Pelodiscus sinensis: one gene and its partners. The protein of the gene in region 3 binds, or shares a complex with, the protein of the main gene of each other region. Links are inferred from orthologs where the notes say so. Each region holds a gene or a part of one and is shown on either strand. Other genes may lie near its edges.

Region 1 (7,857 bases), on a different chromosome or scaffold from region 3:
AACTGAACTGTAATTTCCTTTGGTAAAAGTTTCTGAACAAGAGATCCTTTGTCAGTGGCAGAAAAACTAATCTTTTATCTGTGCTTAGAGGTCATTTAGTGAGACGTGCAACTTTACAGTAGTTTCTCAGATTTTATTTTGTGTTCCAACCTTAATCCAAATGAAAGATCAAATTGTACTTTCATTTACACACACATGCAACTAACTTCCCATGTCACAGACTTCCATGGGTATAAGTGAAGATAGAATCTATTTTTAATGCAACTGTTAAGTAGAATTACATGTAACAGTTAAATAGAATAAAATAATATATTGGTATCAACAATACATAATTTAAAACAGAATTTCACTCATTCTTGTTGACATATTAGTCGTGGATCTGCATGCAAACATGTTTATTTTTCTCTTTCACGGGTGCAGATCAGCAAAAACACAGATCTGAATTGTGGCCTCTGGTGTTGCTTCCGTACACCAGCTCCACAAACATACAAAAGTCACAAACCAAAGTGGCTCCTTATGGAGGATACCTCAATTGGAATAGGGGGTATAGGAGGATGGAAGCAAGAACTTTGATCTTCTATCACACCTGGCACAGGGGCACACCAGGGAAGGAGCAAAGAGGCATGACTGCTCCAATTATTCTGTACTGCTATATGTTTCTCGAATGGGCTGTTGCAGCAGAATGAGAGGGAAGAGATGTGAAGTATTCAATAGTACAAAAATGGCTTAGTCACTCTAGCCACTCCCTCAAAGACAGCCTATATTGAACTCAGTCCAATCGCAGGTCAAAACACAAGGGCCAATGTGCTCATTCATTTAGTATAGAAGATACCAAATACAGGATGTCATTGCTTCGTAAGAAACTTGATATTAAACTGTTTTCTCAGTGACATTTAGTTTGGTTCATTGTTAATTCAAAAATAAAGCCAAAACCAAAAACACAACCACAAAACCAAAAAACCCCACCCCATAAAAATTAACTGAAGTTATTCCATATTATGTCATTTAATAGTACTGAGTACATCTTATTGAATTAGACATTAGCTTGTTACATATGCAACAATTAATAAAGGATAAGAACTATTGCCATCATAAATCTTATTTTATAAGGCTACAATTTGGACATTTTAATTAACTCCAAGCTGAAACTTGGCATACAATTCCAATACGTAACAGTACATTTTAGTCTACCAAATTACTAAAATTAGTTAAACCTGTTTCTAGTGCAGAAGGTTAAAAAGAGAAGGGGGGGCATTCATTTCATGACTAAATTTCTTTATGAATTTAGAACTATTTGCATGGATGGCTTCAGTATGCACAAACCCCTACTGAACTCAATGGATATGTCAATGCATATCAGTGTCCCATGGCCTGCACTTTTGGGCTCACACTTGTTTGTAATATCACCTGTATATTACATGTAATGGAATTTAAGTTTTCAATTTGTCTCTCAACATTAATATTGTCTTTTCTTTTCTTTTTAGAAGATGGGCAGGTTAGGAGGGGAGGAGACAATTACCTTTACTTTGATCAGATGTTGCCCCACACTGAGCTAAAGACAATTAATGAATTTAATGTTTTTATTCCAACTATAAACTGTACCTTTGCGCCACCATTAGTACTGCAAAGATCTCTATTACCCATCCTAAAAACAGCACATTGGAATAACACACTAGTGCAAAGAGAGTGTGACACCATGAAATTATGTGAATTACTTTCACCCCCTTAATTGTATGGGTTGCTCTCCCAGGAACGCTGAAGTTCTTTTTTTATAGACAGTCGATTCAAGGACAGGGCCAGACAGTAGGTAAAATAGGCCAGCTGCACCTGACCTCAAGAGAGGCGGCGTTGCAGGGGCATACCGGGGAAGGCACTTGCAGGCATCCCCGACCTGTGTGTCAACCTATCGCTGTCAAGCGCTAGGCTCCCAAGACTTACGGCTCCTAAGCGGCGAGCAGTTTCTTATCAGTCAGGAGCGCTGCGCCTTTCAGGCGCCACTTTCTCCAAACGTGCCCGGCAGCCGCTCACCTGCCACTGCGCCCCATTCAACCCACTCGCGAGCGCGCAAGACACGCGAAGGCAGACAAAGCACGGCAACTTACGGCGCTGGCACAGCCCCGGCACAGCGGCGAGCACACGGGCTGCCCGCAGCACGGGGCCTGGCCCTCGCTGGCATTTCTGCAGAGAGACGATTCCAGCAGTCAGAAAAGCCAGGAGTGGGATCCACATAATGCGAAGCAGACGGCACCTCTCCCTGTCCTGGCGGCCAAGTCTCGGCTGAGCGGCTCGCTCGCTCTCAGCCCCGCCGTGGCCTCGGGTGGCTGCGGGGGAGGCGAGGCAGCTGCGGCGGCAGCGGGCGGAGGAGGAGGGGCGCGCCCTGCGCAGGTAGGAGGCACAGCAGGGGCAGCGCGCGGCGCCGCATGTCAGGGGGAGCGCAGGGACCCCCGAGCGCCGCGCAAAGCCACTTGGCGGCGGCAGGCGGCGGGTCCTTTCCGCGCAGGGACGGCGGGTGCCTCCATCCGCCCCCGGCCCGGCTCACAAAGGGCTTTTGTCTCCCTCTGCCCGGAGGCGGCGGCGGGCACTTGGCGCAGCCCCAGAACCAAGAGCGAAGCAGCTGCCCCCCGGGCCGGGCCCGCCAGGTGGCTCTGCCGGGGGAGGGTCAGTGGCCCGGGGCTGCCCCTCCCCGGGAGCAGGGAGGCTCCGCGGCGGGCGCTGGGGCTGCCGGTGCCGCTCGCCCCCCGCCGGCGCGCGGCGTGTCCGGCTCGCAGGGTCCCGCGTTGCTAGGAGACCACCAGCGGCAGGGGCAGCTGCGAGCTCGTCCGGCTGCGGGGCGCGGAGCTCCGGGGCGGCGCGCGGGGCGGGGCGACAAGTCTCCGCCCCCCCGCCCTGTTCCCTTTGTTGTGCTGGGCCGCGGAACCCGCCTGCGGTGCTGCCTCGCTCCAGCCCAGCTCCTCAGCCTCCCGGAGCCCAGCGCCAGCATCCATCCCTCTGCGCCTCCGCCCCTCGCCCCCAGCGCGGCACCTTCCCTCAGACAGCCACGCTGCACCTCCTCCCCTCGGCGCCCCTCTCATCCCCCCCCGCTCCCTCGCTCCCCGGTCCCACTCCCAGCATGGCATCTTCCCTCCCTCGGCCACTCTGGCCCTCACCTCTCGGCGCTCCCGCCCCCATGGCACCTCGTCTCCCGGCACTTCCCCCTCTCCGCCTCCCTGCACTGTCCGCACAACTGCATCGTCCCTCCAGTCCTCTGCACGTCCTCGAGTGCACCGTCCCCACCACGGCACCTTCCCCTCACCTCCCTCTGTGCCAGTCCCTCTGCACCGCCTAGCTTCTTCCCCCTGCACCCATCCCTGTGGCACCGCCTCCTTCTTCACCCCTGCACGCTCTTACTCCCCACTCTCATCCCTGTGGCACCTCCTCTCCCACCTGCGCCCATCCTTACGTCACCACTCCTCACCCTGGTGCTCTTTGTGGCCCTATCTGGAGTCCTTTATCCCATGTCTACCCCCTCTTGCCCATATCCAGGACACATCACCACCTTTGCACCCCATCCCCAGGGCACCTTCCATCCCCTTCATGTTCCAGGGATGCAGGGATTCATGTTCCATCCTCTACAGTTCCAGGATCCTCCTAGCCTCCCGTCTGTGCAAACATGGGGAGAGGACAGTACACCTCAGTCAGATCCTGCAGCTAGGGCAGATCTGGCAGCATTGTGGGAACCATGTTACTCTGGCTCCCACCAATGTGAAGCATGAAGCCTGATCAGGGTATTTGTGCAGAATGTTGTTATTTTCCCTTGCACACATGCATTTTCTCAACCCCTCCCACCTTTGAATAATTCTCTGCTCTCTCCCACATCCCACCACAGGTGCTGCCCAGTTCTAGCTCCCAGTTCACCACCACTTGATTGCCTAGCGCCCTCTTCTCCTAAGATACCCTGTCCCCGTTGGTAGTGCCTGTGACTCCATGACAGTGATCGCCAACCTTTTTAAGCACAAGATCACTTTTTTGAGATTAAGTGCAATCCACGATCTACCTCAAACCCAAATACCCCTGCCCCACCTCCTTCATGCCCTTTCCTTGAGGCCCCGCTCCTGCTCATTCCTTCCTCCCTCACTCCCCCATTCTTCCTCCCTTTCACTAGTCTGGGGCAGAGGGTTGGGGTGCAAGCTCTGGTCTTAGGTCAAGGGATTTGGAATGCGAGGGGCTCTGTGCTGAGCCTGGGGCAGGAAGTTGGGGGGGCAGAAGGGCGTTCAGGGTACAAACTCTGTAAGGGAGTTTGGATGGGGGGGACTCAGGGTTAGGACAGGGGCTTGGGGTGCACGAGGGGGTTTATGACTGGGGCAGGGGTTCAGGATGTAGGCTCCAGCTGGACACTACTTACCACAGGTGGTGCAGTGGGGCTAAGGCAGGCTCACCTCTGTGCTGGCCCTGCACTACTCTCAAAAGCAGCCAGCAAATTCCATCCCAAGTCCTGTTGTGCCCCCCTCCATTCTGTGGAGATAAACCACAGGATGGGAGAGGGAACACCCTGACATTAGTGCCCCCTTCTTTTCCTTCCCTGCTCTGCCCAGCAAGTGGGGGATGGGGGAGGGGCAGCTCCAAGGCAAAGGGCAGGAGGTGCACAGCAGTGCGGGGACGGGCAGCTGAAGTGCCAGCGTTTGATAGCCTCTTGGACAAACCAGTCAAAATCACCTGCCAGAGGCTCCAAGATCTACCAGTAGATCCCAATTTACTGGTTGGTGACCACTGCTCTATGGGAATACCCTGGCCCCCTTCCATGCCGCTCTGTTAGTTTTCTTTTAATACTTATTTTATCCCCTTCTATCACCCCTCTTAGGCAATCTTCTATTCTGGGTTTCCACCCCCTCACAAAGTAGGAGTGTTCAAAGGAGTGTTCAAAGGTTAACACTACTCCTGAGTGAGTTAGTAAGTGAATGGAAAGTACCTTGCTTTCAAGCAAAAGCTAGGAAACTCCCTCCTTATCCCCAGGTGCATTTTGTCACTTCAAATCTTCTTAAGAGTTAGAATAATTAACAATTTATTAAATCATTTATTTGGGGCTCAGTTTCCAAAAGACTATGTGCTACCTTGTTTATAGCTGAGACCACCAGCATCTAATTAGCCATGTGTGAAGTTAGATATCCATGAAAACTTTACAAGCTATCTGCAGATACACATACATATCTGTACAACTTGTTCTTTATCAGTCAAAAGTTCAAGGGTTCTGAATACTGTCATGTTCCTTCAATTTCTGTTTTTCTTGATTAATTAGATTGTAGCTCATTAGGGGTAGAGAATGTCTTTTACTTTGTATTTTTAAATGGTGTCCAGCACAATTAGACCCCAGTCATCTAAACACAACTTTAATACAAATTAATAATTTAAAAATTTACCATCATACTTAAGCTTCCATTACTGTTGAACTGGCATCAGTGCACATGTAGGCATGATACTCATCCAGAAATTGTATCAAAGTTTGTCTTTGTGGATAAGTATAGAATTAATAACTCATTCAAATGTAACTAAGACATAATTCTAGACAAAGTAATACCTAACAATACTTTTACATCTAATACCCTTAACAATGTGCAGTGTACTAAGCCTCACAACAATACTGGATATCTTATTATCCACATTTTAGAAACTGGAAAAAATAAAGCTTAAGTTAAATCGCTTGCCCAAGATTCTGGAGGAATTCTGGGGCAGACATGGAAATGGAACTAATCTCTCCACTGCCAGACAGGTGTTTTAAAATATTACACCATTATTCTGTTTCCCTTCCTAAAATTAATTTTGGGTATCAGACCTCAACCTGTGAAAGCCCTAATGTGGGATGCAAACTTACCTGTAAATAATGGGAATAAAAATTATTCATTCAAGGAGCTTAGTGCTGTGGGATTCATTTGTTTGGCATAAATCCAGTTTCTGAATTTATAATTCTACAATTCCAGTTTTTAATGTAAATACTGTAAAACAATAAAAGTGAAGGTTTATATGAACCTATGTAAATTAGACTGAAATGAGAGACATTTGTGAAGCATATTGGGAACACCCTAAACTTGGTTCACTTCTATCTATAATATTTAAATCATTGTGTCAAGACAATCCAAACGCATCTGGAATATTTTAATTAGTCTGCAAAACCTGAGAACATCCTGCAATGGCATCCTGATTACAGATGACCTGCGTGATCAAAAATCTGTTAAAAATTGTCTGAGTGGCTAATATCTTTCTGACTGTAGCCTTGGAGTTTTATATACAAAGAAAAGCTTGTTTTCTACTTTAAAGCAAATATTATGTCAGAAAGTTGTATTAGAAGGGAATATAACTTAGCAATTTTATTTGTTTAAGGATATCTCACAGAATTTTCACTCTTTCACTTTCTATCACAGCACTGGCTATGAACTCTAACACTATTTAGTTGTGGAAGGCCTTACATATCACTCCCCCATCAGTAACTGGAATATGTGAGTGGTACAGCCCACTAGTAATTTCATTTGTCAGTTTCTTTTTTGAGTAAAATAATGAAATACTCACTTGTGCACAACTATAAAGACTATATTTACCACCTTAAAAACAAAATTTCTAAAAGGGGAGGTGAGTGGGTGGGTGAGAACCATATATGATGGTCTCTGCAGACAAGGACAATTACAGTGTAAGAACTCTTCATCAGGGGATTCTTACTCTAGGGCCATGTCTACTCTACAGATAAGATTGAAGTAGCTGTAATCAATCTCCCAGGGTTCAAATTAGTGGGTCTAGTGAAGACACACTAATTTGAATTGAGAGGGCGCTCCCATCAATACTGATAGTCCTACTTCTGCAAGAAGTAAGGGAAGTTGAAGCAAGAGTGTGCTGCCTTTGACTTTCCACAGTATAGACAGTGCCAAAATATGAGTTAAGATACTTCAATTTAAGCTATGGAATTAACGGAGCTAAAGTTGCGTATCTTAATTCGAACTTATCACCTAGCGTAGACCAGGGCTAAGGGTTAGGTAGCATGAGGAATAGCAGTACTACTCACTAGACCAGACAATGATGAAGATACAGGGTGATGATAAACAAACAACATATTTGATTGAATCAACAAAAGGATCAGGTACCTCCAACAGTGTGAAAACTAAATCCAAAGAGCTTCAAGGATGCATCCCATAAAAAGAAAAAAAGTTCTTAAAAGCAAAAGCACAGGACTTCCCAACAGAAACAAAAGCACCAGGGCAGGGAGAAAGTTTGAACCCCTCTACTTTGGAGATTGGCCTTTGAGCTTTTCATAATTGGAGCCCTACAAACCTGCAGATATATGCTTTATATCCACAGATGCAGATTTTGAGGATTGTGGATCAAATGGGGATAAACAATTTGTATCTGGGCAGATCTTTTTTTCAGTGGCATAGCTAAGACAGGAAAACTGAGTGCACACTGATCTTTGCATGAAAGAACAGGCAACAATGGCCTCCCACTCCTCACTCCAGCCAACCGTTATTGCTCAGCATGCAAGAGAATACGAAGCTGCCCAGGGCACATAGTCTGCAGGGCACATCCATGGGGCAGAGGGGACCCACCAGGGTTCAAGCTCTGTTTGCTACTCCCAACACCAGCTTGGTGTTTGTTGACACAGCCTGCCATTTCCCTCTCCTGATGGCACTGTGCGCTGCCCTAGTCTCTGGTCCCACTGGTACCACTCAGCCTTGCTAACAAGTGGCACACCCCTCACTTGGAACAACTAACGCATTCCCAGCCTATGGATTCAGGGCTGTGGGTAGGCCTAGATGCTAAGTGAAAGGACTGCAGCCCACCCATGGCTAGTGTTCCTTGAAAGGTGAGCACTTGGGTGACCACCCAGGAGAGATTCAAATG
Region 2 (8,002 bases), on a different chromosome or scaffold from region 3:
CTCTTTCGAAAGAGGAATGCAAATGCAGCCAAGCAAAATTGCAAATGAAGTGCGAATTTACAAATCTTGCGCTTCATTTGCATAATGGCTTCCGGGCGCTTTTTCGAAATAACCCTTACTCCTTAAAAAATGAGGCTTAGGGTATTTCGAAAGAAGGGTTTTTTCTCAAAATAACCCCGTCAAGACAGAGGGTTTTTTTTTCGAAACAGGGTATTTAGACCAAAGGAACAAAACTGAGGACTCAAAGTAAAGCTTCCAAAAGACTTCTTCTAACAGTCCATGCAGTGATTACATATTAAAGGTCTAAGAATAGATGTTTATTGCTAATATGCACCGTGGAGTTAAATTAATAGCTAGAAATGAAACTTTTGGAATTTTATTTGGTAACCATCTGAATTTTTTTATCTCTTTATTAATGGACCCCTCACAATCACTATGCAACCCAATTTCAATAGCATGTTCTAGAGCCTAGTCCTTTAGACACTTAGGCTGCGTCTAAACTGGCAAGTTTTTCCGCAAATTTGCGGAAAAACTTGCCAGCTGTCTACACTGGCCACTTGATTTTGCACAAAAGCACTGACGTTCTACTGTCTGAAATCAGTGCTTCTTGCACAAATACTTTGACATTCCCGTTCGGGCAAAAGCCCTTTTCCGGAAATGTTTTTGCACAAGAGGGCCAGTGTAGACAGCTAAAAACTATTTTGCACAAAAAAGCCCAGATGGCGAAAATGGCGATCGGGGCTTTCTTGCACAAAACCTCATCTAGATTGGCACGGATGCTTTTCCGCAAAAAGTGCTTTTGCGGAAAAGCATCAGTGCCAGTCTAGACGCTCTTTTCCGCAAATGTTTTAACGGAAAAACTTTTCCATTAAAAGCATTTGCGGAAAATCATGCCAATCTAGACGTAGCCTTAGGGTATGTCTACACTGCAATATTTTTTTTAAATAACTAGCGTTATTCCAAAATAACTTAGCCTGCGTCTCCACTGCAGGCAGTTATTTTGAATTAATGTCAAAATACTGTCAAGCTGAAGGACATCTTATTCAGACTCCTGTAACCCTCATTGTACGAGGAATAAAGGAAGTCAGAGGAAGAGTGCTCTATTATTTCAGAGTTAAGTCTTGCAGTGTAGACGCAAGATGTAACTTTACACATGTAAATGTCCTACTGAGGTATCACTTGGATAAGGCTTTGTGGGCTACATCTCCAACTTGTAAGTTTTTCAGGCCAAAGAAACTTGTTTTCACATAAGTCTGCAATGTAGTTTGATCACCCAATGCACAACATAAATATATTGCTAACGGTAACACGAGCCATGTCCTTAACATAGCCAGGGATGTACAGTACAATTAAAAATTCCCTCCACAGGGATGTAAAAAGTAATGAAAAGCAAACAAACAAAGGTATTAACTTTTAGGAATGCGTTGAATACTAAAAGAATACCTGAAGTTTCATAGAGTTTAAGGCCAAGAGGGCCCATCGATTCATCAAGTCCCACCTTTTGTATATCACAGGCCATTACATTTCACCCAGTTTATAGAAACCCCTATATTAAGCCCAAGGACCAAGACACTTCAGTCCTCAGGAGACTAAACCGTAGGTGCCACAGACAAGCTACAGGAGAGACGAGCTTGCGGCCAATGCCCAAAGACTTGCAATAGCAAGAAACTGAGAGTTTTCAGCAACTGCTTCTGATCAGCACTTAATGGACAATTGCATATAGTGAGGGAACAAAAAATTAGTTCATGTTTAGGCAGTGTTGCATGTTTGGCAAGATCAATTTGCCTGGATCTAGACCCAGGGCAAGGGTGGGAGAGGCAGCAAATCGGGGGTACACCCAGGGAGGCAGGGGTGCAATACTCCGCGGCCTTAACAGGAGGATCTCAGATGAACTCCTTGAGCGCCAATGCCACTTTCTCCATCCGCCTGCATCCCAGGTGTCAGGTTCCTGGGCCACCGATGCCACCTAACGCCCCGAGCAGCGCTGCTCAGCCCCAGGGGGCATCCCGCAAGTGAGCGGGTTAAGCTCTGTCACTCGCCGCCCTAGGGCGACAGCGGCAGGAAGGGGCGGCGTGGGGGGAGGGCAGCCCGCTGAGGCATAGCGGAGGAGCATGTCCCCAGCACCGTGGGGCCAGGTGAGGAGGCTGCTGCAGCGGCTCCCTGCTCGATAACCCCCCGCACTCCGCTCCCGAACTCCGCCGCGCACCGGGCTCGCCCCGCAGCAGTCCCCCTCCCCCGCGCTTCCTGCCAGCTCCCGTGCGAGCCCCGACCCGCCCGGGCTCGCGCCCCCTCGGCCAAGCAGCTGTCAAGCGCGGGGGGGGGGGGGCGAAGAGGAGACGCGCAGCCGGGACACAGGGGCGGGGGGAGGCTGCGACTTACCTGAGTCCCGCGCCAGAGGGGGGCTGGTGCTGCCCGCGAGCGCCCAGCACGCGCAAGCCTGGAGCAGCAGCAGCGCCAGGCTCCGGAGGCGATCCCGGCTCATAGTCTCGCCCGCTCCGCATAGGAAGCCGAGGCAAGAAGTCGGGCTCCTGGGGGAGGAGGGAGGGAAGCGAGGGCTGCGCGCCCCGGGCCGGCCGGGGAGAGAGGGGAGGCCGCGGCAGCTGCAGCTGAGCTGCCCTCTCTGGGACTCAGCGCGGCCGGGCTGACTCACTCCGCTTCGCTTCAGCGCCGCAGGGGGAACAGGAAATCTTCAACTTCGCAAACAGCTGGGCAGGACTTGCTCGCTCCGGTACGGGCTCCCCGCCCCTCCCTGGCCGCTGTCACTCAGCTGCCCTAGGCCAGCCCCTCGCAGGGCTCGCAGACACCGCAAACACCCACTAGCCAGCCACAGCGCCTGTCCCGCGCCCGGGCTGTGGGTAGAGGCGTAGTTGCCCTGCCTAGGAAGAGAAGTAGGGAGAGTTTCCCCAGAGCCACATGACCAAGGCTTGTAATAGCCTGTTAGTGGTGCATTGAGGGGCCCTGGTGTTCGGCGCTGTACAATCAGCCCGATCCAGCCATGTGTTCCAAGTGGGCAGACTGCTCCCCGGCTCACTGGCCTGCTTGCTGACTCCACTAGGGCTCCTCTGGTGGCATTCCACCTGTGTGTTTCACTGGGGCAGTCAGAGCCACAAAGATCAAACCTCGCCGGCAGGTGACATAATCAAGGGGGAAGGGAGGTTGAAGTGACAGTAATAACAGGAAATGTTAGTACAGACTGCCTTGTACTGAGTTTTTAGAAACAAGCCAGGCACTAGCAACCATTACAGTCATAACCACTTGTCGCCTGCCCCCCTTGTGTTTTGTTCCAGACTTGAAAATAGGTTGCATATTTTGCAGAAAAAAAAAAGTTAAAAGGAAATAAACAAAAACGTGCCTGCAAATGGACTCAATTTGCTAGTGGAAGGAAAACGGCCTTGAAAAAGCAAAATTGAGGTTTGCAATGAAAATGGAGAAATTCACATTCTCCTGTTCTTTTAGGCACAAAATCACCAGAAACTTGAAAATGGTGAATGTTTTCACAAATATGTTTATGAACATTTTTTCAAATCCTGGCAGTACACTAAAACATTCACATGCTAAAATAAAATTGATGAAGTAATGACTACTAGCTGTAGTGTATGTATTGACATGTTTATATATGTGCAACTGGCTCACGTGCTGTTCTTTAACTGTCTCAGGAACCTACTACATCAGTAAAGGAGCATGACTTTGGGATGTTTTACATACATTGTAGATATGCAAGGTTGGTAAAACTCATCAGCTTCCTTCCCTGATCCAGCCCAAATAACCAGGCTTCCTCCTCCCCTAGGAATCAGGATGAGAAGACATAACATTTTAGGGATGAAATCAGTACAATGCAACCATTCACCACTTATATCACAACCACAGACCATGTGATTTACTGGATGTTTGCAGTGAATAGGCACTGGAAGTCACTAAAAATGCTGCCACTGGACATGAAGTAACTTTTAAAAGTATATTCAGTTTTAGTATATGGGTTGTGGATATTACAGTAGAACCTCAGAGTTACGACTACCTGGGAATGAAGTGATTCATAACTCTGAAATGTTTAATAGTCTAAGCATTTTAAAGACTTAACAAAACATGTAGATGGCATCATGAGATTTCGTGGGCACAACCTACTTCTTCAGATGACCAGAATGTTGGATGTCCAGAACCAAGAATAACACTGAATAAAACATTATCATTGATCTTTCAAATATTTACAATGGAACATTGACTTAATATAAAACATAAGAATGGCCATACTGGGTTAGACCATCTAGCCCAGTATTCTGTCTGCTGATAGTGGCCGATACCAGATGCATCACAGAGAGGGAACACAACAGGTAATCATCACGTGATCCCTCTCCTGTCATCGATCTCCAGACAAATAGAGGCTGGGGACACCATTCCTACCCATCCTGACTAATAGCCATAGATAAACCTAACCTCCATGAATCTATCTAGCTTTTATTTTAAACCCTGTTAAAGTCCTATTCTTCACAGCATCCTCTGGCAAGTAGTTCCACAGGTTGACTGTGCACTGAGTGAAGAAAAACTTCATTTTGTTTGTTTTAAACCTGCTGTCTATTAATTTCATTTGGTGATTCCTAGTTCTTATATTGTGGGAATAAGTAAATAACTTTTCCTTAATCACTTTTTTTCCACACCAGTCATGATTTTATAGATCTCTATCATATCCTGCTTTAGTCTCCTCTTTTCTAAGCTGAAAAGTCCAAGTCTTTTATCTTTCTTCATAATCCATATAGCTTTGAAACTTTGCTACACAAAAGAAAAATGCTGCTTTCCCTTTGTTTTTTATGTTCAACATAGTACATTACTGTATTTATTTTATTTTATTGCCTCTGCTGCTACCTGACTCTGTATTTCCAGGTCCAGATGAGGTGTGTGCTTGACTGGTCAATTTGGAAGTCTGGTATTCATAACTCTGAGGTTTGTTGTACTCTCCTCACACATATACAGATGTGTATGGACTGGAAAATAAACTGCTGCACACAGCGATATTTGGAGACTCTGTTGTGATTCAGCTGAGTCTTGATTACAACATTTGATATGGATACAGAGCTGATATGGATATTTCAGATATGGGGACTAAACCTAGGCAGGGGTCCTCAAATGTTGTGATACCGCAACCCCCCCTTTAAGTTGCTCATGACCCCCCGGGGCGTCAGGACCCACAGTTTGAGAAACTCAGCCTTAAGGGACAGTGTGTGTGTGTATGTACATGTACCATATCAACCGTTTATGAAGTTTGAAGGATTTACACAATGTATGTAATTGGTCAATAACTTAGACTTCAGAAATCTCATTATGTTTTTACATAAATTTGGTTCTAAAATATATTTACACAGTGTAGTCATAGTTTATATTGTGAATTCTCAGACTTCACTAAGAGGTTTTTCCATTTCTTCTTTTTGTTTTGTTTACTCAAGATTCTCTCAGACAAAACTGCCTTCTTGAAGTTGGTGGAAAATTTGCCTCAGTAACACTTGAGTATAGATGAGAGGTGGGGTATTTTTATAAATTCATAGTGTAACATCACTGTGTTGCAAACTGGTCATATTTTTAGTAACTTGGCTACATATTATTATTAGCACCTTTCATTGTACATTGTAGCAATACAGTTCTCTAACTGTGAACCACAGAGTACTTGCTAGTGGACTGGAAATTTGGCTTATCACATGGTGTAGCATCTCATCTATTTCCCCATGCTAACTTGCATGATTACAAGAAGCTATGAATTAATTAAATATTCATTCATTTCAAATGCTAGTTTTCCATATAAATAATTGCTATGGTTGCCAAAGGAATGTTACATGGCTATGAAGAGAGAGGGGAAGAATGGTTGTACAATCACAAGTTGGAGATCAAGTGTTTTTTGTTTTTTTAAGATGGGGGCTGCTCTGTGAGAAGGCTTGTGGATCACTGTCAAAACATAGTAAATTCTTGCTTGGATCGCTCTACAGGAAAATTAACTACCTGGACCAAAATTTATATAGCACTCATACTAACAAGCAAAAAGTAATGCAATTCAGAGTTGTACTTTCACAAAGATGTACCTGGGTTGTGGTATACTTACACACAAGGGTCCTGTTCCTGCCTTTCTTTAGCACCTAAAGATCCCATGCTTAGGCCCAAACTCACTTTAGTCAGGATTTCCTGGACAACTGAAAATATATAAAACAATGCTAAAGCTGGTTACTTTGTTCCAGTTCCTTATTAACGGTTTTCATTTCCTTATTCACAGACTGGAGTTGCCTATTTATTTCTAAGTCAAAAGGGTGAATAATAAACTTTAGTCAGACATAGGTGAGGGAGGCCAAATAATGCAAACTTCAGATGTATCTAGAAAAGAAGTTTAGGAAGTGTTCTCTTTTCAGTGGTCACAGCTGTTGTTTTCTTCAACAATTGTATATACAGTGCTGTATGGCACAGGAACAAAATGTTATGACTGAATACTTAAAAATACTGTTAATTATAAATGGTTAATGTTGTCATAGTTGCTTTGGGAGAAATAGGTTAAATATATATGAAGTTTGCGATCCCCAAAGAAAACAGCAGTGACTCTTTGATACCTTAGATAGAAACACCAGTATGTACAAAGTAAGAGTGAGAATATGTATTATGCAATCCGTACAGTTTTCTGTGACAGAATCTGTCATTAGGGTTGCCAGAATGGTTTAACCAAAAATACTGAACACCCAAAAAAAAAAAACCACCAGGGAAAAAATTCTGTTGAGGAAAAAAAGGGGGAGATCAAAATTGTTGAGCAAAAAAAACCCGGAGACCAGGCAACCCTATCTGGAATTTTCATCTATGTACAAAACACATTTTTCTATGTGTACTAAGGCCTGTGTGAAAGTGCACTATCAATAGAAACCAAAAACTGAGCTGTGGGCTCTCTGCTAATCAACTGGAAAACATTTGATTCTCTCCTAAGCAACCGCACAAATGCACAGCTGATAGGAAACAAGGTGTGTGTGATCTTGTGAAATCACCGCCTAGCATGCTGACCAATATTGTCACATTAGTTTCTTGTATTCCCCTGTCAGTTTGTTGTTTTCTCCATTTGTGGACTTGTCTTATGCTTATAGTAAATGGTTTGGAAATGTCTTTTTGTTCTATGTTTGTACAATGCCTAGCATGATGGGTTCCTGATGTAAGACTCTATCTTCTAGGTAGTATGATAATTCAATAAGAACATAGTTATCTACTAGGGTATGTCTACACTATAAAGTTAATTCAAACTAACAGATGTTAGTTCGAATTAACTTTGATAGGCGCTACACATACAAACCGCTAGTTCAAACTTAATTCGAACTAGCGGAGCGCTTAATTCGAACTAGGTAAACCTCATTCTACGAGGACTAACACCTAGTTCGAATTAAGTAGTTCGAATTAAGGGATGTGTAGCCACTTAATTCGAACTAGTGGGAGGCTAGCCCTTCCCAGGTTCCCCCTGGTGGCCACTCTGGTCACAACCAGGAAAACTCCTCTCCTCTCCCCCAGCCCTTAAAGGGGTAGACTTTGGCCAGACGGCACTTTCCAGAGACAGCCCTGCCAGCAGTCTCTGCCCCTGACCGAGAGGCCGCACGATGAGCCAGGCAGTCAGTGCCAGCGACATGTCCCCTGCCCAGTCCCCCAGCACCCAGGAGCCAGCCAGGGGACATAGACGGCGCGCGGCCTCCTGGACTAGTGCGGAGGTCATGGAATAGGAAGCCTAATCCAAACTACCTAACTGTGAACCGCGTGCCGTGTGTAGCCGCGGGCACGGAGTCCGAACTAGCGGACATTTAAAAATGGCGGCGTCCAGCAAAATGCAAATGAAGCCTGGGAAATTCAAATCCCGGGCTTCATTTGCAACTCCGGTTGCCTACTTTAACCACCCTAGTTTGAACTAGGGTGGTAGTGTAGACATACCCTAAGTCCTAACCTGATGCCCTGCCGGCACCTGTTCCGGCCAGCCTTAACTCAGTTCAGCAAAACGCTAATTCGAACT
Region 3 (7,525 bases):
TGCAATACTACAGCATCAAGGAACACCCTGGCTACATCTAGACTGGCATGATTTTCCACAAATGCTTTTAACGGAAAAGATTTCCGTTAAAAGCATTTGCGGAAAAGAGTGTCTAGATTGGCACGGACACTTTTCCGCAAAAGCACTGATTTGCGCAAGAGGGCTTTTGCCCGAACGGGAGCAGCATAGTATTTCTGCAAGAAGCACTGATTTCAGACAGTGGAAGTCAGTGTTCTTGCGGAAATTCAAGTGGCCAGTGTAGACAGCTGGCAAGTTTTTCCGCAAAAGCAGCTGATTTTGCAGAAAAACTTGCCAGTCTAGACATAACCCCTGTGTTGGGACATCACTGCATGTCTTCCATTGTATTCCAGAACTGAGGAATCTCCAGCACTGACTGAAGGGATTGCTCAGTCCCAACATCCATTCAGCTCCCACATCTGCAATCTGCTCGGGATTGGTGTCTGCTCAGTCTCTAGGTCTGTATCTGAACCTGAATCTGGTTAGTGTCTGCATCTGTATCTGCTCAACATCTGCTCTGCACTTGCTCCACATCTGTTTTTCAGTATCTCCTTGGTGTGTGTGTGTCCCATTGAGATCTCCTCTGCATCTACTTTGGTGTCTGCTCTGCACCTGCTCAGCATCTATGTGATCCTCTGCTCATTATCTGTCCCCTCAGTATCTGTTTCTCCTGAGCGTCTCTCCAGTATCTGCTCAGCATCTGAGTCTCCTCTGCATTTATGCAGTGTCTTATCATTGTGTGTGTCTCCTTAGTATCTGAGTTTCCTCAGCATCTCCTCTGTCTTCCCTTAGTGGCTGTACCTCTCCACATCTCCATGTCTGCCTTCCTCTGTACATGTATCTTTGTCTTCTCTGCATCTGACTACATTCTGCAGAGTAAATGAGCCAAATCCATTCCTACTGCAACCACTGAAGCCAGCAGAGTTTTGCCACAGATTAATATGGCCCAGCACTGGGACTATGTTTTCCGCATGCAGACACGCTTTTATTTCTGCTACTAATCCTTTAGGGTGAATTCAGCCTACAAGCCCCAAACTCTTTCCTCCTCATCGCCTCCGCTCACCATCTTTTTTCTTTCTTCTCTCTCCTCCAGTCGGGTGTATGTGTCTCCTCCCTTCCCATCTTCTTCAGGATATCAGGGCTTCAAACATTGGCTGGGCTTGCTATTCCTTGGCTAGAGTCTAGGCTGATGTTATTCCAAGACACTGAAAGCCCATCCCTTGCCTGCCGCTTGCCAATGCTCAAACTCCTCCACCTGCTGGAGGCTGCTCTCCAGCCAGCACTTGGCCATTTAAAAAAAATTGTTTTTAAAATTCATCTTTAGGTTTTTTTCAGACCCCTCCCACTCACACTGCTTATCTCCAGGCTCCCCTATACACTCTACATACCACCCCCACACCTATGGCTCTCTAGTGTTGTCTTCACTCTATTCCCCCAACATACACACTTGCTGCCCCAATAAACAATAATTTCAGCGTCCATGAGGACACCTTATGGTATGAAGGCAGCATGAGGCTATTCCCAGACTCTGGGGTTCTCGTCTGTGCAGTCTCTCAGCATTTGCCAGATTTCTTTCATTCCTACTGTGCTTTGAAAATCTTTGTTGTAATCATGTGATTCACATACACTGAACATATATGTTCAAAGGCATGCAAAAGCACATATACATCTCACAACTTCCCTATATGAGCAAATACACATGCCAAGAAACACTGCACACTGAAACGCATGGACTCTTCCCAACCATGTACAAACCTCCATGAAGATATGAAAACATATTACTCCCACTCAGCTATACCCCAAGACACAGAAACAAATGTCTCATATGTCACTCCAGCCTCACATAGGGCTGAAACACACGTAGTCTTATCTCACTGGTAAAAAATGTAGATACATAAACAGACGCACTGGCACTCACACATGTGCACACACATACTTGGACAAACATGTGCGCACACATTCACATATAAAATACATGCACATGTGCGCAGACACAGACAGACAATGCATAATATAGAATGTGCACATGCAAAAATAGACCTGTGTGTACACATTCACTTTTGTACAGAAAGCTACACAACTAGCTGTACATACACACCCACACATAAGCATTGTCAGGCACACACTTTACAGCAATGTGGCCTAGATCAATCACCTAAAAAAAGACAACAAAAGAGTTGCTATTTTTTTTCTTTGCTAGAAGTGGATGGGAAAGCAGACGTGTCCACAGTTACTAGACACCTGCCTCAGAATGGCTATCAGAATCTGTGAATGCTCCTGCCAGGAAACTTCATCCCTTCCAGAGGGAAGTGCAAAGTATTCCTCCTGCATTCCCCCTCCCCTGTCCCAGTAGAAGGCACTGCTGTCCCTTCCTTCTTGCTCCCCACCCTAGGCAGCCTTGCCTCTGGGCTTCATGCACTATGCACCTCCTGCTCAGTTTTGGGTCCCTCCCAGGATGACGCCCTGAAAGCCATGCACAGGAGCAGAGGATGATGGGGAACTTACTGTGCTCGGGAAGACCCTGGATCAGATCAAATTTGTGGATTTCCTTGGCGTAATATTCGGACTCGGTGCTGTCCTGAAAGCAGCTCTCCTCCTTCTCCTCCTCCATCTCCTCCAGCAGCTCCCGGGTGCTGTTATACAGGGCCAGAATCTGGTAGGGCACATGAGTTGGTCCTACCGTCTCGGGGGGGCTCGTGAGCCTCAACTTACTCAGAATCTGCCCCCTGATGGCCTCCACCCTCTTCTTCTTGATGTGGTCGAGTTCTAGGGTGGTGCAAGAGGAGAGCGAGAGACTGACGGTGGCAAAGCTCAGCAGGCACAGGACCACCAGCGCCCGTTGCAAGTGCATCTTCATGTGCGAGAGTAAAGAGGGAGCCACAACGAGGGGACACCCCAGAGGAAGCGCAAGTGGGCTAAGGAGACTAGGCAGGGCTTTCGGTACAGCCTCCCCAGATCCTGCAGACTGAGGCTTGGCACGAAGGTGCATGAACTCACTGTGCAGTGAGCGATTCAGGACTTCCAGGAAGCGCTGGCAACACTTAGGAAGGAGAAACAGGCTCTGTGCCGCGGCGAGCCGGGATCTTTCTCCATGTGTCCAAGCAGGACCCGCTGAGCCAGGGCTCCAGACAGACCAGGGCAGGGGAGGGCGCCTCCGCACGAAGCCAGGAACAACCGCAGAGAGGCTGGAGCTCGACTGTGCCGCGGGGCAGTCTCGCAGCTCCAGAGGCAGGTCCCCTGGAGCAGCGACCTCCTGCGCCCGTGTCAGGCAGCCCCCCGGGGACGGGCAGGCGCAGGCTCCGCACACTTGTTGCGGGCATGCACTATCCACGCGCGCCCCTTAGTTCACAGCCCCTCGCGGGGCAGGACGGGGTTTGTCATTCGCGGCCGCTTGGCTCCATTGGCGCTGCGAGGAATTAAGCGACGGCCGCGCTGCACATCCCTCCGGCGTCTCCGCGGGGTCCAGGTAGGAGCCTGGGGTAGCTCAGCGCTGCCCCTCGCCTCGCTTTGCGGGCGGTATCCCCACGCGCAGCCGGAGCCCCGTGCGCGCCTGTCCTTTTCGCTCGCCCTCTCTGGCCCCCGGCCCCCTCGCTCCCTCACACACTGACTCTCTATTCCGCTCGGCTGAAATTTTATACCTCCCTCCCATGACGTCTGCGGGCCTGCAGGAGGGTGGGGGAGGGACCTGCCGGCCCAGCGTTCACATTCAACCCGGGTTTAATGCGTTGCACAGGCGCGAGGGGAGGGGGGCAAATCCCAGGCTCGGCCTCTCGCCCGGCTGTCTGGCTCGGGCCGGTGTCCCACCTCCCTAGGGGGGAGGGTCGGTGCTTTGCCCCCAGTCTCCCCTCTGCACCGTCCCGCTCGCGCCCCTTCTCCTGCCACTTCCCACTTTTTGCTCCCCAGCCCTGGTTTGACCGCGTTCTTCCCCGCCGCCCCGCTGAGCAGCGCCTCCCTCCCCCTGGGCCCCGCCCGCGGGGTGATCCTGGGGGACGAAGCCCACTGCCGGGCTGGCGGGTTCCGAAATGGGACGTGGGCACGTGCCTGGGCCCGCAACAAGACCCTGCTGCACCGCGTTCGGGGCCGGGGGGAGACTCAGCGCACGGGCCCCGCGCGGCTTTAATCGTGGTCCGGGGCAGCTCTGCGGGCCGGCTCGGAACGCGCTCCCGGGGCCGGGAAGTCAGGGTGGGGCTTTCGGGAAAGCCAATGGCGCTCTCTGGCGGGGAGCACAGGCCGGTGGCGCGGCTCCTAGGCAGCCGCTCACCCCCGCCGTTCCCAGCCTGAGCTCCTTGCAGCCCTCGCTGGTGGTCCGCAGAGAGCTGGCGGGTGACTTGAGGCTGGCGCCTCCGCTGATTTCCAGCTGCTAAATTGCATTAAAAGAAGCTAAAAATACATGACATACTTTGCTGATGTGATTTTTCCATGTGAGCAATTGCTGGAGCTGCTGGAGCGATGGGATACAGCAGGGAAGGGGAAGGGATATGAGGGACCGGGGTGGTGGAGGTGAGGGATGGCATGGCTGGGCAGGTAATGGCAAATAGGATTGGGGCAAGGGATTCAAGAGCCAGCAACAGAGTCTGGGAGAGGGGGAGCTAGAAAGTGGATCCAAGCAGTGGATAGGATGTGGAAAGGGGGGCAATTTTTATGGGTGGGCTGGATAAAGCCTTACTTAGATTCAGAAGGCATGGACAAGTAGGGGAACTAAGTATTCTACATGCCCATATGGCCCCCCTCACCATAGTGTGTCAGCACCCCACAATCTTTCATGTATTATCCTGTGAAGTTGGGAAGTACCACTATCACTGTTTTGGAAGGGGAACTGAAGCACAGAGAGTCTTTGGGTATGTCTACACTGCAAAAAATCCCCACAACAGCGAATCTCAGGACCCTGGTCAACTGACTTAGGTTTGCTATGGGACTAAAATAATGTCAGGACATTTCCACCAGAGGAGGAGCCCTGGCTCTGAGACCCTCCACCTTTGTTCAGGTTTCAAGAGCCCATGCTCCAGGGCAAACAGCAATCTCTGTACTGCTATTTTTAGCCCCTTAGCACCAATCCCATGACCCAAATCAGTTGGTTTGGGCTCTGTGAGACCTGTTGCTTCAGGGTTTGGGATTTTTTGAAAAGTGTAGACATACCCTATATGACTTGTCCAAAATCACACAGGAAGTTTGTGGCACAGCAGGGCATTTACCTGTCTCCCAAATCCTAGGCTAGCAACCTGCCCACAGAATTATTCTTCTCTGTGCTTAGCTCTTTTATAGCTTTTCATCCCAAGATCTCAAAGTCTTTTTACATAGCAGGTCAGTGCCATTAAAAGTAATTCTTGAAGACTCGGCCTACCCCTTCCTACCTGTGGCTCATGAAGCCAGACACAGGCAGCCTGGATCACAGCAAGGAGCAGTTCAACAACAGGCTGAGAAAGTGCAGAATGGTGCTAGAATATGCTTTTGGACTTTTAAAGGGAAGGTTTTGAAGTTTTTTACTAGGTTAGATCTCAGCAAAAGCAACATTCCCATTGTTATAGCAGCCTGCTGTGTGCTCCATAATACCTGTGAAAGTAAGGAGGAAAGCTTTATGCAGGGTGGGGGCCTGAGGGGCCTGACACTAGGGAAATAAGGAGCATGCATTGTGTATCGGAGAAGCTTTGAAAAACAGCTTTGTGAATGGCCAGACAATGATATGACAGTCATGTGCATTGCTCTTAAGTGTGCTTGCCTGTAAATCCTGTAACCTCTCTTCCAGGCAACAAAAGCAATAAAGATACTGTTGTTGAGACATAATGTGTTTTTATTTAGTGAACACAAGGAAGAAGGGACAGAAACGGAGTTCAGGGCAGGAGCTTGGGCACGGTGTGTGAGACATGGGAAAGCAGCATATTACAAACCCCCTTGGTGGTATAGATTCAGTGTTTAGAAAATCTACTTAATGTAGTTAAGTTCAACCTAAACTTCTAGGCTACGTCTACACTAACCACCCACTCTTGTGCAAGAAGATTTACAGTACGGCATGGTAAGAGAGGGCTTCTTGCGCAAGAGCTACGCTCTTTTTTTACAAGTGTAAGCCTTCTTGCACAACAGCGCTTGTGCAAGAGGGCAGTATGGATGCACGGCAGGGGTTTCTTGTGCAAGAAAGCCCTATAGCCAAAATGGCCATCAGAGCTTCCTTGCGCAAGAGAGTGTCCACACTGCCATGGATGCTCTTGCGCAAAAGCACATCTCACACATGGCAGTGTGGACATGTTCTTGCACAATACTTCTTGCACAAGAACCTACCAGTGTAGACATAGCCCTAGTGTAGACCAGGCCTAAGGTTAAAGGAATGGTGAAGCAGTATTGGGCTAAAAGGGCCCTACCCCTGAACAGCTCTCGGAGATGCTCCATATGGCGGACTTACTTAAAGAGAGCTCTGACAGTCAAGTGAGGATGACAGAAAGTGACAGACTGCCCGCAAGAAGACAAATAGGCTGTATGTGCTGAGGCAGAATCAGCCACTGGGGGAAGAGCCAGCCTTGTAAGGCTTGGCTGGTAGACTGCACCTTAACCCCCCACATCTCTTCCTGATTGGGGGAGCAACTGGTCTCTGACAATAACAGTAACGTTATTTCGGAATAACATCTCAGAAGAGTGCATCTACACTGCAAGACATTATTTTGAAATAATGTCGAGCTGGAGGACTTCTTACTCTGACTCATGGTAATCCCCATTTCACAAGGAGTAAGGGAAGTCAAAGGGAGAGTGTTCTTCCTTCAACTTCCTACTGTGTAGACAGCACCAAGAGCTGAATTAAGCTATTTTGACTTCAGCTATGCAATTGACTTAGCTGAAGTTGCGTAACTTAATGTGAGTTTTGCCCTGCTGTGTAGATGTACCCAGAGAGAGAGAGAGATGGGAAATCTCCAGATGAGATTCTAATTACTGAGCTTTACAAACTTAAGTTGCAGCTGCAAGACACAGCTTAGTTTTAAGTAGGAAAATGAGACTTGTGATCTACACGCTGGAACCAGACAACTCAAGCATTTACTTTAGTCAGAAAGGCAAGCTAAAATTCAATTTGCTAGTCAAGACAGAACAGGCTTTGTAGCAGAATAAACTATAATGTGAGTATCTGCTGCTGCTGCAAAACACAACCTGATGTTTTGGAGGGAGGTGACTTCTCTCTAATGCTTGCAATTACACACTTAGTTGCCACTGCCAGAAGCAGGCAGTTTAATCTGTAAATAGTCCTTGACTCTCAAACTATTTAAAACACATTTTTATTAAAAAACGACATACACAGAGCCTTGGTGCTTGTTAAAAACCAACAGCATTACTTAACAGAAAGTACTACTGAAGGCCATAGTTTGCATGATACAAAAGGTGTATGCTGAGGACTATGGAAAAACTTAGACATACACACATTTTCCAGAATTTTTGGAAAAACAAATAGCCTTGGCTCTCCTGTCACAAGGAGTCAACATTTTGAATCATTTGCAGGAAGCATGAGAAGCTTGCTGACAAGGGCATGCCT

Evidence for each region.
Region 1: the proteins of TGFB3 (region 3) and ITGB8 are in contact, whole or in part, in a cryo-EM structure (PDB 8VS6), measured with the Homo sapiens proteins. The link is inferred for Pelodiscus sinensis from reciprocal best matches to the Homo sapiens genes TGFB3 and ITGB8. Residues at the interface, in NP_001316868.1 of Homo sapiens: Gly262, Asp263, Leu264, Arg266, Leu267, Lys268; in NP_002205.1 of Homo sapiens: Ser156, Ala157, Ser158, Asn161, Arg206, Gln210, Cys211, Tyr214, Leu216, Ser247, Gly248, Asn249, Ile250, Asp251, Thr252, Glu254.
Region 2: the proteins of TGFB3 (region 3) and TGFBR2 are in contact, whole or in part, in a crystal structure (PDB 9B9F), measured with the Homo sapiens proteins. The link is inferred for Pelodiscus sinensis from reciprocal best matches to the Homo sapiens genes TGFB3 and TGFBR2. Residues at the interface, in NP_001316868.1 of Homo sapiens: Arg325, Lys331, Trp332, His334, Tyr390, Tyr391, Val392, Gly393, Arg394; in NP_003233.4 of Homo sapiens: Leu50, Phe53, Asp55, Ser72, Ile73, Thr74, Ser75, Ile76, Glu78, Val100, Asp141, Glu142.

The regions. Positions count from the first base shown.
Region 1 is NC_134712.1:201,088,408-201,096,264, forward strand, and holds the start of ITGB8 (integrin beta-8), read right to left. Parts: upstream 3,009-7,857; 5' UTR 2,230-3,008; coding exon 2,103-2,229; intron 1-2,102. UniProt on the Homo sapiens protein: Integrin alpha-V:beta-8 (ITGAV:ITGB8) is a receptor for fibronectin. It recognizes the sequence R-G-D in its ligands.
Region 2 is NC_134712.1:184,714,831-184,722,832, forward strand, and holds the start of TGFBR2 (TGF-beta receptor type-2), read right to left. Parts: upstream 3,009-8,002; 5' UTR 2,483-3,008; coding exon 2,380-2,482; intron 1-2,379. UniProt on the Homo sapiens protein: Transmembrane serine/threonine kinase forming with the TGF-beta type I serine/threonine kinase receptor, TGFBR1, the non-promiscuous receptor for the TGF-beta cytokines TGFB1, TGFB2 and TGFB3.
Region 3 is NC_134714.1:43,366,603-43,374,127, reverse strand, and holds the start of TGFB3 (transforming growth factor beta-3 proprotein), read right to left. Parts: upstream 3,008-7,525; coding exon 2,524-3,007; intron 1-2,523. UniProt on the Homo sapiens protein: Transforming growth factor beta-3 proprotein: Precursor of the Latency-associated peptide (LAP) and Transforming growth factor beta-3 (TGF-beta-3) chains, which constitute the regulatory and active subunit of TGF-beta-3, respectively.